3 linked regions of the Stegostoma tigrinum genome follow. The protein of the gene in region 2 interacts with the protein of the main gene of each other region in a biochemical or structural test. Links are inferred from orthologs where the notes say so. Each region holds a gene or a part of one and is shown on either strand. Other genes may lie near its edges.

The links.
Region 1: the proteins of mcm6 (region 2) and mcmbp form a complex in vitro, tested with the Homo sapiens proteins (2 studies listed by BioGRID). The link is inferred for Stegostoma tigrinum from reciprocal best matches to the Homo sapiens genes MCM6 and MCMBP.
Region 3: the proteins of mcm6 (region 2) and chek1 form a complex in vitro, tested with the Homo sapiens proteins (2 studies listed by BioGRID, with this or other methods). The link is inferred for Stegostoma tigrinum from reciprocal best matches to the Homo sapiens genes MCM6 and CHEK1.

Annotation. Positions count from the first base shown.
Region 1 is NC_081373.1:26,240,647-26,244,396, forward strand, and holds the start of mcmbp (mini-chromosome maintenance complex-binding protein), read right to left. Parts: upstream 2,316-3,750; 5' UTR 2,274-2,315; coding exon 2,216-2,273; intron 1-2,215. Other genes in the region: sec23ip (SEC23-interacting protein), read left to right, coding at 2,503-2,623. UniProt on the Homo sapiens protein: Associated component of the MCM complex that acts as a regulator of DNA replication.
Region 2 is NC_081360.1:73,160,064-73,163,813, forward strand, and holds the start of mcm6 (DNA replication licensing factor MCM6), read right to left. Parts: upstream 2,717-3,750; 5' UTR 2,595-2,716; coding exon 2,497-2,594; intron 585-2,496; exon of another isoform or gene 386-584; intron 172-385; exon of another isoform or gene 1-171. UniProt on the Homo sapiens protein: Acts as a component of the MCM2-7 complex (MCM complex) which is the replicative helicase essential for 'once per cell cycle' DNA replication initiation and elongation in eukaryotic cells.
Region 3 is NC_081385.1:31,886,118-31,889,867, reverse strand, and holds the start of chek1 (serine/threonine-protein kinase Chk1), read right to left. Parts: upstream 3,002-3,750; 5' UTR 2,955-3,001; intron 2,941-2,954; exon of another isoform or gene 2,916-2,940; intron 1-2,915. UniProt on the Homo sapiens protein: Serine/threonine-protein kinase which is required for checkpoint-mediated cell cycle arrest and activation of DNA repair in response to the presence of DNA damage or unreplicated DNA.

The DNA of each region.
Region 1 (3,750 bases), on a different chromosome or scaffold from region 2:
ACAGATGCCTAAAGCACAGCAACTAATAATCATAAATAAGAAAGAGACTGGAATTCAACTAGCATGGATATCTGTTGAATAAACAGGATCTGGTGCAAGAAATGGAATGGATAAAGGTATTTGAATGGCCTCAACTTTGTGGAAACTAAAACGTATAGGACTGACCAGAATTAGGTTGGAATTGTCAAGGCTGGACATACTAAAGGCATGGATGAGGGTTTCAGCAACAATGCTCTGAGACAGATCAATCAGACAATGTCACAGAGGCAAAAATAAAACTATTACAATACAAATACATACAAAGTACATACTGGGTAATCCTCAGATGATAAATAAAAACCGAAAAAAAAAAAAATTACAGATGCTGTAAATCAGGAAAAACAAAGTTGCTGGAAAAGCTCAGCAGATCAAACAGCATCTGTGAAGGAAAAACAGAGTTAATGTTTCGGGTCCAGTAAGGAACGGTCACCAGACCCGAAACTTTAACTGTTTTTTATCTTCACAGATCCTGCCAGACCCGCTGAGCTTTTCTAGCAACTTTGTTTTTAATCCTCAGATGGTTATCAGGTGAGGAACAGAGTGGGTGAAAACCAAAGATCATAGTTTGGTGTCCCTAACATCTATTCATTCAGTACTGAATATCAAACAAGGTACTTTATACATAAGAAAGTTACAGACCTCAGGACAAACTGGTCCTCTTACAACTTCTTTAGTATTATCACTTGTATCAGCTCTGATCACTGATTCACAATGGCTTTCTGTTAAACAACAAACATCCTCATTTTCAAATCTCTCTGTGACCTTTCCTATTCCTATCAGTTTAATGTCCAGCCCCACAACTGTCAAATAGCCATGGTAATCAAATTCTAGCCTCTGGCATTGACTGCTGGCATCTGTGGAAAAGCCTGCCTCCTTAAGCTGACCAGTTAGAACATAGAACAATACAGCGCAAACAGGCCCTTTGGCCCTCGATGTTGCACTGAGCTGTGAACTAATCTAAGCCCATCCCCCTACACTATCCCGTCATCATCCATCTGCTTATCCAAGGACTGTTTAAATGCCCCTAATGTGGCTGAATTAACTACATTGGCAGGCAGGGCATTCCACGCCCTTACCACTCTCTGAGTAAAGAACCTGCCTCTGACATCTGTCTTAAATCTATCACCCCTCAATTTTTAGCTATGCCCCCTTGTACAAGCTGACGTCATCATCCTCGGAAAAAAACTCTCACTGTCCACTCTATCTGTTCTGCAAATAATATATGCACAATTTGTGGATCATTACACATAACATTGCTGATACTCCCATGATTAAATATTTCTTCAATGTTCCAAAATAATCATTTAACTATTCAAACAATTAAAAGTTCAGAAATATATTCAACATAGATTTATTTTATTAAGGCCACTCAACAGACTCACTTTAGTACAAACTACAATGTGAGATCTAACAGTCACAAAAACAGATGTATATCAGTCAGGAAGCACTGGACTTGCCAAAAGTCAAATATGCCAGACTATATTCATGATAACGATCTTTCCAGGAGTTTGGAAATTGGTTGATTATGTTATTGACAAGCATCAAATTAGTTGTTTGGAATATATTCTATCATTTGCGTAAATCAACATGAATCCACCTACTGAAGGAAGTCCCCTAAACGTGCACAAAAGAAATGAGCTACAGCATGAAACAAGGCTAAGTCTTCTGATAGTTCGATAACTTGCAATTTAAAGAAAATACACCGAACTACTTTGGAATACTGCCAGATTTCCATAACTGTCTCCACCCACATGGAAATCAGCTTGGTCTTGGATCTTAAAGGCTTGTTCTCTAACAGTACAAAGCATATTATAAAGCCAATGGTTTTAAAAGTAGCTCACAGTTTAAATGGTCTCACAAGCAATCAGCTTACAGAAAAGAACTATTTGCCGAAGCCTTGCCTTTTGATCTGGGATTGATATAAATACTTAAGCTGTAAAGTTCAATTTTGTCTCCGAATTGAAGTTTAAAGCTCCGTGTAAGAAAAAGAGGGTTGTGTGTGATGTGGTGGGGGGGGGGGGGGGTGTTGGTGGAAGGTTAAGGAGCTGCTGAGAAGGAGCTGGGATGGGAGGCCTGCACAAGCACAGAAATCGCGGACCAGGAATGGAAGAACTTGCAAATACAAAAACAAAAATAAAAGCGATTAGGCAACAAAGGAGAAAGAAAGCAAACTCACCAAAAATACTTTGCACGGCGCCTAGAGGGTCGTTGACCCAGTCGTCAACACACGGCATGTTGAGAAGTTGCTGCGGGACAGGGGGAAAGGGGGGGGCAGGGCGGGGGTTGGGGGGGGAGGGAAGTGACCAACGGCGATGGCGGGAAAATCGCGTCATTGACGCAGCCGCTGACCCCTGACCCGCTGCGCCATGACGTACCGGGCCGGTTTCACCTCTGACCCCCACCCGCCCCGCCCCTCATCCCGCTCCGCGGAGCAGCTGGTTACGTGTCGGTGCCGGAGTAAAGATGGCCGACAGGAAAAGCGGCACTAACTTGCTTTTCTCCTCCGACACCGAGTTCAGTTTCCCGGTGCCTTTCATCCCTGTCAGTCAGGCGCAGGCGGCGGACAGCAGCCTTCTCTCAGCGGGTGGGTGAATGAATGAGGCCCGCGGTTGTGTTGAGAGGATGGCAGACAGACTCCCCGGCTCGGGATGGGGGAGGAGGAGGAGGAGTCACTCCAGGGTCGACATCTGGATCCTTGAATTTCATGTTGCTTGGTTGCGAGGGTGTTGGTGTCTGTGATTTGAAGTCTCATCGAGAAGTATTCAGTTCAGCCGTCCACAGGGTTTGGATCCCTTTATCACCTTACACGGGGCGCGGAAGGAGGTTGTGTCACTGAGCAGTCTTTGATTTGAGCCTGACGTGTACTGAAAGAAAATTGAGTGGTCCGATCCTAATAGCAGGTCTATCAAAAAGTCAGCAATTAAAAATACGATGTATGTAATCGGGCTTAGACTCACTTGTGGTTTGTTTAGCCTGCTTGTAGCCCAAGCTACTTTGTGGCGACCTGTACAATATGTATGGCATGATTTTATTTTGTTGGGCATTAACATTCTGCAGCTGTTTTTGTATGATGCCAGATGTCAGAGTTGCTGTACTGGCAATTGTAGCTTAGTAGTAGAAGATTCACCTCCTGAATCTTAGATTGAACATCTAAGTTCTTCTCCGGGGACTTGAGCACAAAATGCAGTTTGGTGTTTCAGTACAGTACTGATTGCATCCTACACCAACAGTAGGTGCTATCTGTTCCGTGGAAAGATAAGCAGAGACTCCACCTACTCTCTTAGATGCATGTAGAAAATCAAATAAGTTTTCACTGCCAATATTTATACTTCATCTAATACCAAGAATGAAACAGTTTTATTGTTATCAAATAGCTGCTTGTAGATCCTTCCATTCTCTACATTTACTCTCTTATTTCCTACATTACAACAACAATCCCAATTTGAATGAGTTTAATTGACTATGAAGTATTTTTAAATCTCCTGAGGTTGTGAGAAGTGCCACATGAATGCAAGACTTTCTATTAACGTGTTTTATTTTGTGAGTGCACAGTGCAGATGAGCTGGATGTACACACATTAGAACAATTGAAATTTGAGGCCAAGTTTTTATATTAAGGCTATCCTCAAACAGATGCACAAACAATAAAATTGACTCCTAGAACTTTAGAATTTTACAGAAATGCCAAAATTGCTCAAATTGTGGAAAGGTG
Region 2 (3,750 bases):
AGGCAAGTTTTACATCTGACAGGTCAATCTTTGTCAATGTTGCAATGATAAACTTCTCGTTGGCTCTCTGCAATTCAGTTGAGAGCCAAAGGATCAGTCACCAGCAGCAGGCCACTGGTTGCTAGCTATTTTAATTCCCACTCCCACGGTGACATGACTGCCTTTGGCTGTCTCCAGTGTCAGAATGAGGCCAAACATAAACCGGAAGAGCAACAATTGATATTTTGCCTTACCTAGTCTGGCTACATTTAACTGCAGACCCACAGCATTGTGGTTGACTCTTCACTGCCCTCTGGGCAATTAAGGATGGGCAACAAACGCTGCCTAGCCAACAACGCCCTCGTCCCGTGAATGAATAAAGAAGAAAAAAAACTCACACTTACACCTATGGCAACTGGCAAGCATGATAAGTACAGTTCCTAGTGTGACGGATGCACAAAGGCAACTTTTGTGCTGGCTGAAAGGTTTGGTAACAAGACTAATCCTTTTGCGAGGGACATCTTCAGTGGGGTAATATCGTAGCATTTTGCAGATTTTGATGAAATGTGTACCACAATTTTGTCTCCTCCAACTTGCTTGATGATGGAAGAGGGACTTTTTTTCCTTCAACAACCTCTCAATCTTCATCATAGGAGTTTTGATCTTTAAAAGGCCAATGTTCACTTTGGCTTCTCTCTTCCTTGTTATATAAACACCTTACAAAAAAAGTGTGTTTAAATCCTGATAGCAACCTGAATTTACTTATTCTGGCCACTGAACAATGCTAAAATGTAGCATAGGAATAATCTTAAAACCTATGGAACAAGATCCCAAATAAAATCCATTTAGGTGTTAAGAACAATGGATAATTGAGCTGAATTTTCAAATATGAGCCAAAGGGAACAAGTAGTAATTTGCAGTTTGATTTGGGAGACCAGAGCTTTGGTGCTAAAGAGTCTGGAGATATGTTTGTCCACATGAATTCTAATGTCGTTTTGTAATCTCAACTTGGAAGACCAAGGAGACTAACAGATCAATGCTTAATAAAATTATACTGTCATCTAGTAACAGGGATCTCATGATCAGAACAAACCAGAAATTGTTATGAATGTGCCAAAAATGGGTCCCAAATAGCTAACTTCTGGACTACAGCAACAAAATTTAAATGGCGTGATTATTCATTACTCCAAAATGGTCCCTATGCATTTGCTGTCTGTAACCATGAGTCCATAGCAAGGATCTGCATGTCCAGAGACATAATACTGTGTATAAAAGCAAAATACTGCACATACCGGAAATCAGGGGGGGAAAAAAAGCGATGCTGGAGCAACTAAGCAGGACTAACTGCATGTGTCAAGGGAGAAACAGATGTTCTGGGTCCAGTATGACCCCTCTTCATAAAGACTTTTTTGCACTTTTATGTATCTTTCACTTCTGAAGTCATTCTGGATTTGATGTGTCAACACTTAGTCTCTCCACAGATGCTGCCATACTTGTTCAGTTTCTCCAGTAACTTCTGCTTTTATTTCGGATTGCCGGCATCCATAGCTCTTTGCTTTATTCCCAAATTCTCTATGTTTGTTTCATCACCTGGTGATGTGCATCTGATACAAGTGGGAGCGTACTCTATTTTCTACTGGTTGATGATAAGGAGAAAGCAGAGGGTAGGGATAACTAACGTGGAGCTATGCTTTTCCAGGGTGCCTATGAAGCATTGGACTTTCTTAGGAAGAATCCTTTGCAGAGGACCAAGCCCAGTGTCCGGAAGTAGCTGCTACATGTCTGGAATGTGGTCAAGGTGGTGAGGTATACAGCTGCTACAGCACCCTCAGGTATAGCCTCCTGGCTCTCTGGGCAGTCTGAATGGCAGCAGACAGACAGACGGCAACAGGGAACCCTACATCACAGAGAACTTTTGGCTAGTACTATCGTTGGCATTATCTAATCAATCCGTTCAGAAATGATAGAGACTGACAGCGGCTGTCCACCGCTGGATTGCAAACGCATGCGTACTTCATGCGCCCTCTACAGGTGTCGCTGGCAGCGCAGTTTAAAGGATCCAGGAGATGGCTAAAACTTCAGTAAAAACCAACGAGGCGGGAGAAGTTGTTTCAGGTGTTTTGGGTGGGTGGGGAAGGAAAGAGCTGGCAGTACAAAGAACGCGCAATCGGCTGTATAATTCCGTGCTGTTGACGGGGATGCTGGTGCAGCAGGACAGCCGATGCGCTGACTGAGCCGCTGCGGCTCGGCGCCCTGGGCTGTACCAACAGCAGCAGCTGCCGCCTACCACGGACCGAGCTGAGGAAAATCACGTCGCGGAGTGAGTGTGGCTCAACAGTTCAGAGCGCAAACACACCCTAGGCCTAACGCGACATGCACGGACTGAAGACACTGCAGCCAGTGACACAACGATGGTCCGGGATTGATCTCCTCAATCTCCCCTACTGGTACGAGGGCCCCGGAATCGGTCCTTAGCTCCTCCCCACCCTCAGAAGTTTCACCGCTAACTCCACTTACTCCTCTAGGAATTCCTGGAATAGTTTCTGACATTTCTCCGCCAGCTCATCCTTCACCGGCTGCCCGGCGGCTCCTACCGCGGTCTCCGCCAGATCCATCTCGGAGGAAAACAATGTCGGTCAGATTAACAAAGAATCGTACACGACAGCAACCGATCGATTCCTCAGGCGCGCGATCTTCGTTTTCGCGCCACTTCAAGTCACGTGCCCAGCTTGCCCGCCAGAGAACGGCCAGTCAGCCAGCCCTTCCTCTGATCACGTGGCCTTCGGGCACGGGCCTCGCCAGCTGCTCCCCCCAAGGAGGCGGGGCTTTAGACCTTTGGCCCGCCCAAGGCTCAGTGTCTGGATCAATGGAGACGGCTGCTGTATCCGGCCTTCCCACGGTATCTGCAAACTTTCAGTGCCTCTGGTTGGGTGTCCCTGAGTGCAGAAAGAAACTCCTATTGTATCATATCAAAATCAAGATTTTATTTCTAAGTGTTTAATGGAGTGATGTGGAGATGCCGGTGTTGGACTGGGGTGGACAAGAAATCAGGTAACACCTGAAGTAGGATTGAGGCTGTGAAAGCTTGTATTTTCAGATAAGCCTGTTGGACTATAACCTGGTATAACACAGTATGGAACTGGAGGAGCACAGCAGGCCAGGCAGCATTAGAGGAGCCGGAAAGTTTCGGGTCGGGACCCTTCTTCAGAAAAACTTCCCTGCTCCTCTGATGCTGCTGGTCTGCTTGTGCTCCTCCAGCTCCACACCGTGTTATCTCTGACAACAGCATCGGCAGTTCTTACTATCTCGGACTATAACCTGATGTCGTGTGCTTTCTGACCTTATGTAGGGAGAACGTACGCTTGGAGATGAAGCCACTTTAATTGAGGTGTTGGCTGCATTTAAAGAGCTGCTACTGTTTTGCCAAGTACCTGTGCCTCCTTTCCAAATTTTCCTCCTTACTTACAGGGGCCAGCATAAATCCAGTCGTTTCTGCTGACCACTTATGTAGTACTTGGCTCAATTTTATAGTTGCACTTCTGACACCATTCCTTAAATGAAACGATGTTAAGTGAATCATCTTATCACGTTGCGACAACTAAAGCCTACAGTTAGAACAGGTCCTATGGAATTTTTCAAAAAAAAAGACTTTTAAATACTCTTAAATTTGTAAATGCAGCTATTTGATTTAATGCTAAGTTCAGAAATGTGTTTTTTTTTCCTCTACTACTCTTCATTTACTGCTTCTTTCTCCCTAATAAGAGAGGGATG
Region 3 (3,750 bases), on a different chromosome or scaffold from region 2:
AGTCACTCATTCCCCCAATCTTTCTCTCTCTCACACAGTCACTCATTCCCCCATCTCTCTCTCACACACACAGACACACACACGCACACAGTCAATCAATCCCCCATCTCTCTCTCAGACACAGTCACTCATTCCGCCATCTCTCCCTCTCACACACACACAGCAACTGATTCCCCCATCTCTCTCTCTCTCTCTCTCTCTCTCTCACAGTCACTCATTCCGCCATCTTCTCTCACACACACAGACACACAGTCAATCAATCCCCCATCTCTCTCTGACACAGTCACTCATCTCCCCCATCGCTCTCTCTCACACACACAGTTGCTCATTCCCCCATCTCTCTCTCTCTCAGACACACACACACAGTCACTCATTTCCCCCATCTGTCTCTCTCTCACACACACATACAGTCACTCATTCCCCCATCTCTCTCTCTCTCTCACACACACATACAGTCACTCATTCCCCCATCTCTCTCTCTCTCTCACACACACATACAGTCACTCATTCCCCCATCTCTCTCTCTCTCTCACACACACATACAGTCACTCATTCCCCCATCTCTCTCACACACACATACAGTCACTCATTCCCCCATCTCTCTCTCTCTCTCACACACACATACAGTCACTCATTCCCCCATCTCTCTCTCTCTCTCACACACACATACAGTCACTCATTCCCCCATCTCTCTCTCTCTCTCACACACACATACAGTCACTCATTCCCCCATCTCTCTCTCTCTCTCACACACACATACAGTCACTCATTCCCCCATCTCTCTCTCTCTCTCACACACACATACAGTCACTCATTCCCCCATCTCTCTCTCTCTCTCACACACACATACAGTCACTCATTCCCCCATCTCTCTCTCTCTCTCACACACACATACAGTCACTCATTCCCCCATCTCTCTCTCTCTCTCACACACACATACAGTCACTCATTCCCCCATCTCTCTCTCTCTCTCACACACACATACAGTCACTCATTCCCCCATCTCTCTCTCTCTCTCACACACACATACAGTCACTCATTCCCCCATCTCTCTCTCTCTCTCACACACACATACAGTCACTCATTCCCCCATCTCTCTCTCTCTCTCACACACACATACAGTCACTCATTCCCCCATCTCTCTCTCTCTCTCTCACACACACACAGTCACTCATTCCCCCATCTCTCTCTCTCTCAGACACACACACAGTCACTCATTCCCCCATCTCTCTCTCTCTCAGACACACACACAGTCACTCATTCCCCCATCTCTCTCTCTCTCTCACACACACAGTCACTCATTCCCCCATCTCTCTCTCTCTCTCTCTCTCTCTCACACACAGTCACTCATTCCCCCATCTCTCTCTCTCACACACACAGTCACTCATTCCCCCATCTCTCTCTCTCACACACACAGTCACTCATTCCCCCATCTCTCTCTCTCACACACACAGTCACTCATTCCCCCATCTCTCTCTCTCACACACACAGTCACTCATTCCCCCATCTCTCTCTCTCACACACACAGTCACTCATTCCCCCATCTCTCTCTCTCACACACAGTCACTCATTCCCCCATCTCTCTCTCTCACACACACAGTCACTCATTCCCCCATCTCTCTCTCTCACACACACAGTCACTCATTCCCCCATCTCTCTCTCTCACACACACAGTCACTCATTCCCCCATCTCTCTCTCTCACACACAGTCACTCATTCCCCCATCTCTCTCTCTCACACACACAGTCACTCATTCCCCCATCTCTCTCTCTCACACACACAGTCACTCATTCCCCCATCTCTCTCTCTCACACACACAGTCACTCATTCCCCCATCTCTCTCTCTCACACACAGTCACTCATTCCCCCATCTCTCTCTCTCACACACACAGTCACTCATTCCCCCATCTCTCTCTCTCACACACACAGTCACTCATTCCCCCATCTCTCTCTCTCACACACACAGTCACTCATTCCCCCATCTCTCTCTCTCACACACACAGTCACTCATTCCCCCATCTCTCTCTCTCACACACACAGTCACTCATTCCCCCATCTCTCTCTCTCACACACACAGTCACTCATTCCCCCATCTCTCTCTCTCACACACACAGTCACTCATTCCCCCATCTCTCTCTCTCACACACACAGTCACTCATTCCCCCATCTCTCTCTCTCACACACACAGTCACTCATTCCCCCATCTCTCTCTCTCACACACACAGTCACTCATTCCCGCATCTCTCTCTCTCTCAGACACAGTCACTCATTCCCCCATCTCTCTCTCTCACACACAGTCACTCATTCCCCCATCTCTCTCTCTCAGACACAGTCACTCATTCCCCCATCTCTCTCTCTCACACACACACAGTCACTCATTCCCCCATCTCTCTCTCTCACACACAGTCACCCATTCCCCCATCTCTCTCTCTCACACACACAGTCACTCATTCCCCCATCTCTCTCTCTCAGACACAGTCACTCATTCCCCCATCTCTCTCTCTCACACACACAGTCACTCATTCCCCCATCTCTCTCTCTCACACACACAGTCACTCATTCCCCCATCTCTCTCTCTCAGACACAGTCACTCATTCCTCCATCACACTCTCTCACACACACAGTCACTCATTCCCCCATCTCTCTCTCTCAGACACAGTCACTCATTCCCCCATCTCTCTCTCTCAGACACAGTCACTCATTCCCCCATCTCTCTCTCTCTCAGACACAGTCACTCATTCCTCCATCACACTCTCTCACACACACACACACTCATTCATTCCAAAATCTCTCTCTCTCTCACACACACAGCAACTCATTCCCCCATCTCTCTCTCTCTCACCCCATTCCCCCACCTCTCTTCCACACACACACACTGAATTGTTCCCCCATCTCCCTCTCTCTCTCTCACTCACTCATTCCCCCATCTTTCTCTCTCCGTCTTTCACACTCACTCTCTCTGCGTAACGCTCTTCCCATGGATTTTCGCGCCTTGCGAACGTCAACACGTTGCAATGACGTCACCGCGCTGCTGGGGGCTTGAGGCTGGCGGTGCCGTCAGCGCGGGCGGGAGTTTCAAAGCTGGCGCTGTTCTGAATGGGTTAGTGACACAGCGACTGCAGCTGGATTTGATCGTGTGGTAGACCAGGGTCACTTCATCACATCGAATTGGAAATTAGGTGGATAGTTATTCAGTTTAATTGCAACAAAATTGTAAATATGAGCAGAGGATGTTGATAACTTTCAGAGGGCAGGAATGCATCAATGGAGCAAGAACAGAATTACTGAATCGCATTTCATGTGCATGGATCAGAGGAGCGGGAGCCATGAGATTCCCCAGTTCCGCCTCCCCCTCTCTCCCTATTTATTCCAGAACCCTCTCCCCATACCCCTCTCTGTTGAAGGGTCTAGGCCCGTAACGTCAGCTTTTGTGCTCCTGAGATGCTGCTTGGCCTGCTGTGTTCATCCAGCCTCACACGTTATTATATTGGAATTCTCCAGCATCTGCAGTTCCCATTATCTCAGATTCCCCAGCTCAATGTGACTGCATTCAGAGGTAGGACCAATACACTGTTTTCCAACTGAGTGCAGCCACTGGATGCTAACAAGAGTTGCCAGCTGGGTGGATCAGTGGTTAGCACTGCAGCTTCACAGCGCCAGGGACCCAGGTTCAAATCCAGCCTCGGGCAACTGTCTGTGTGGAGTTTGCATGTTCTCCCTGTGTCTGCCTGGGTTTCCTCCAGGTGCTCC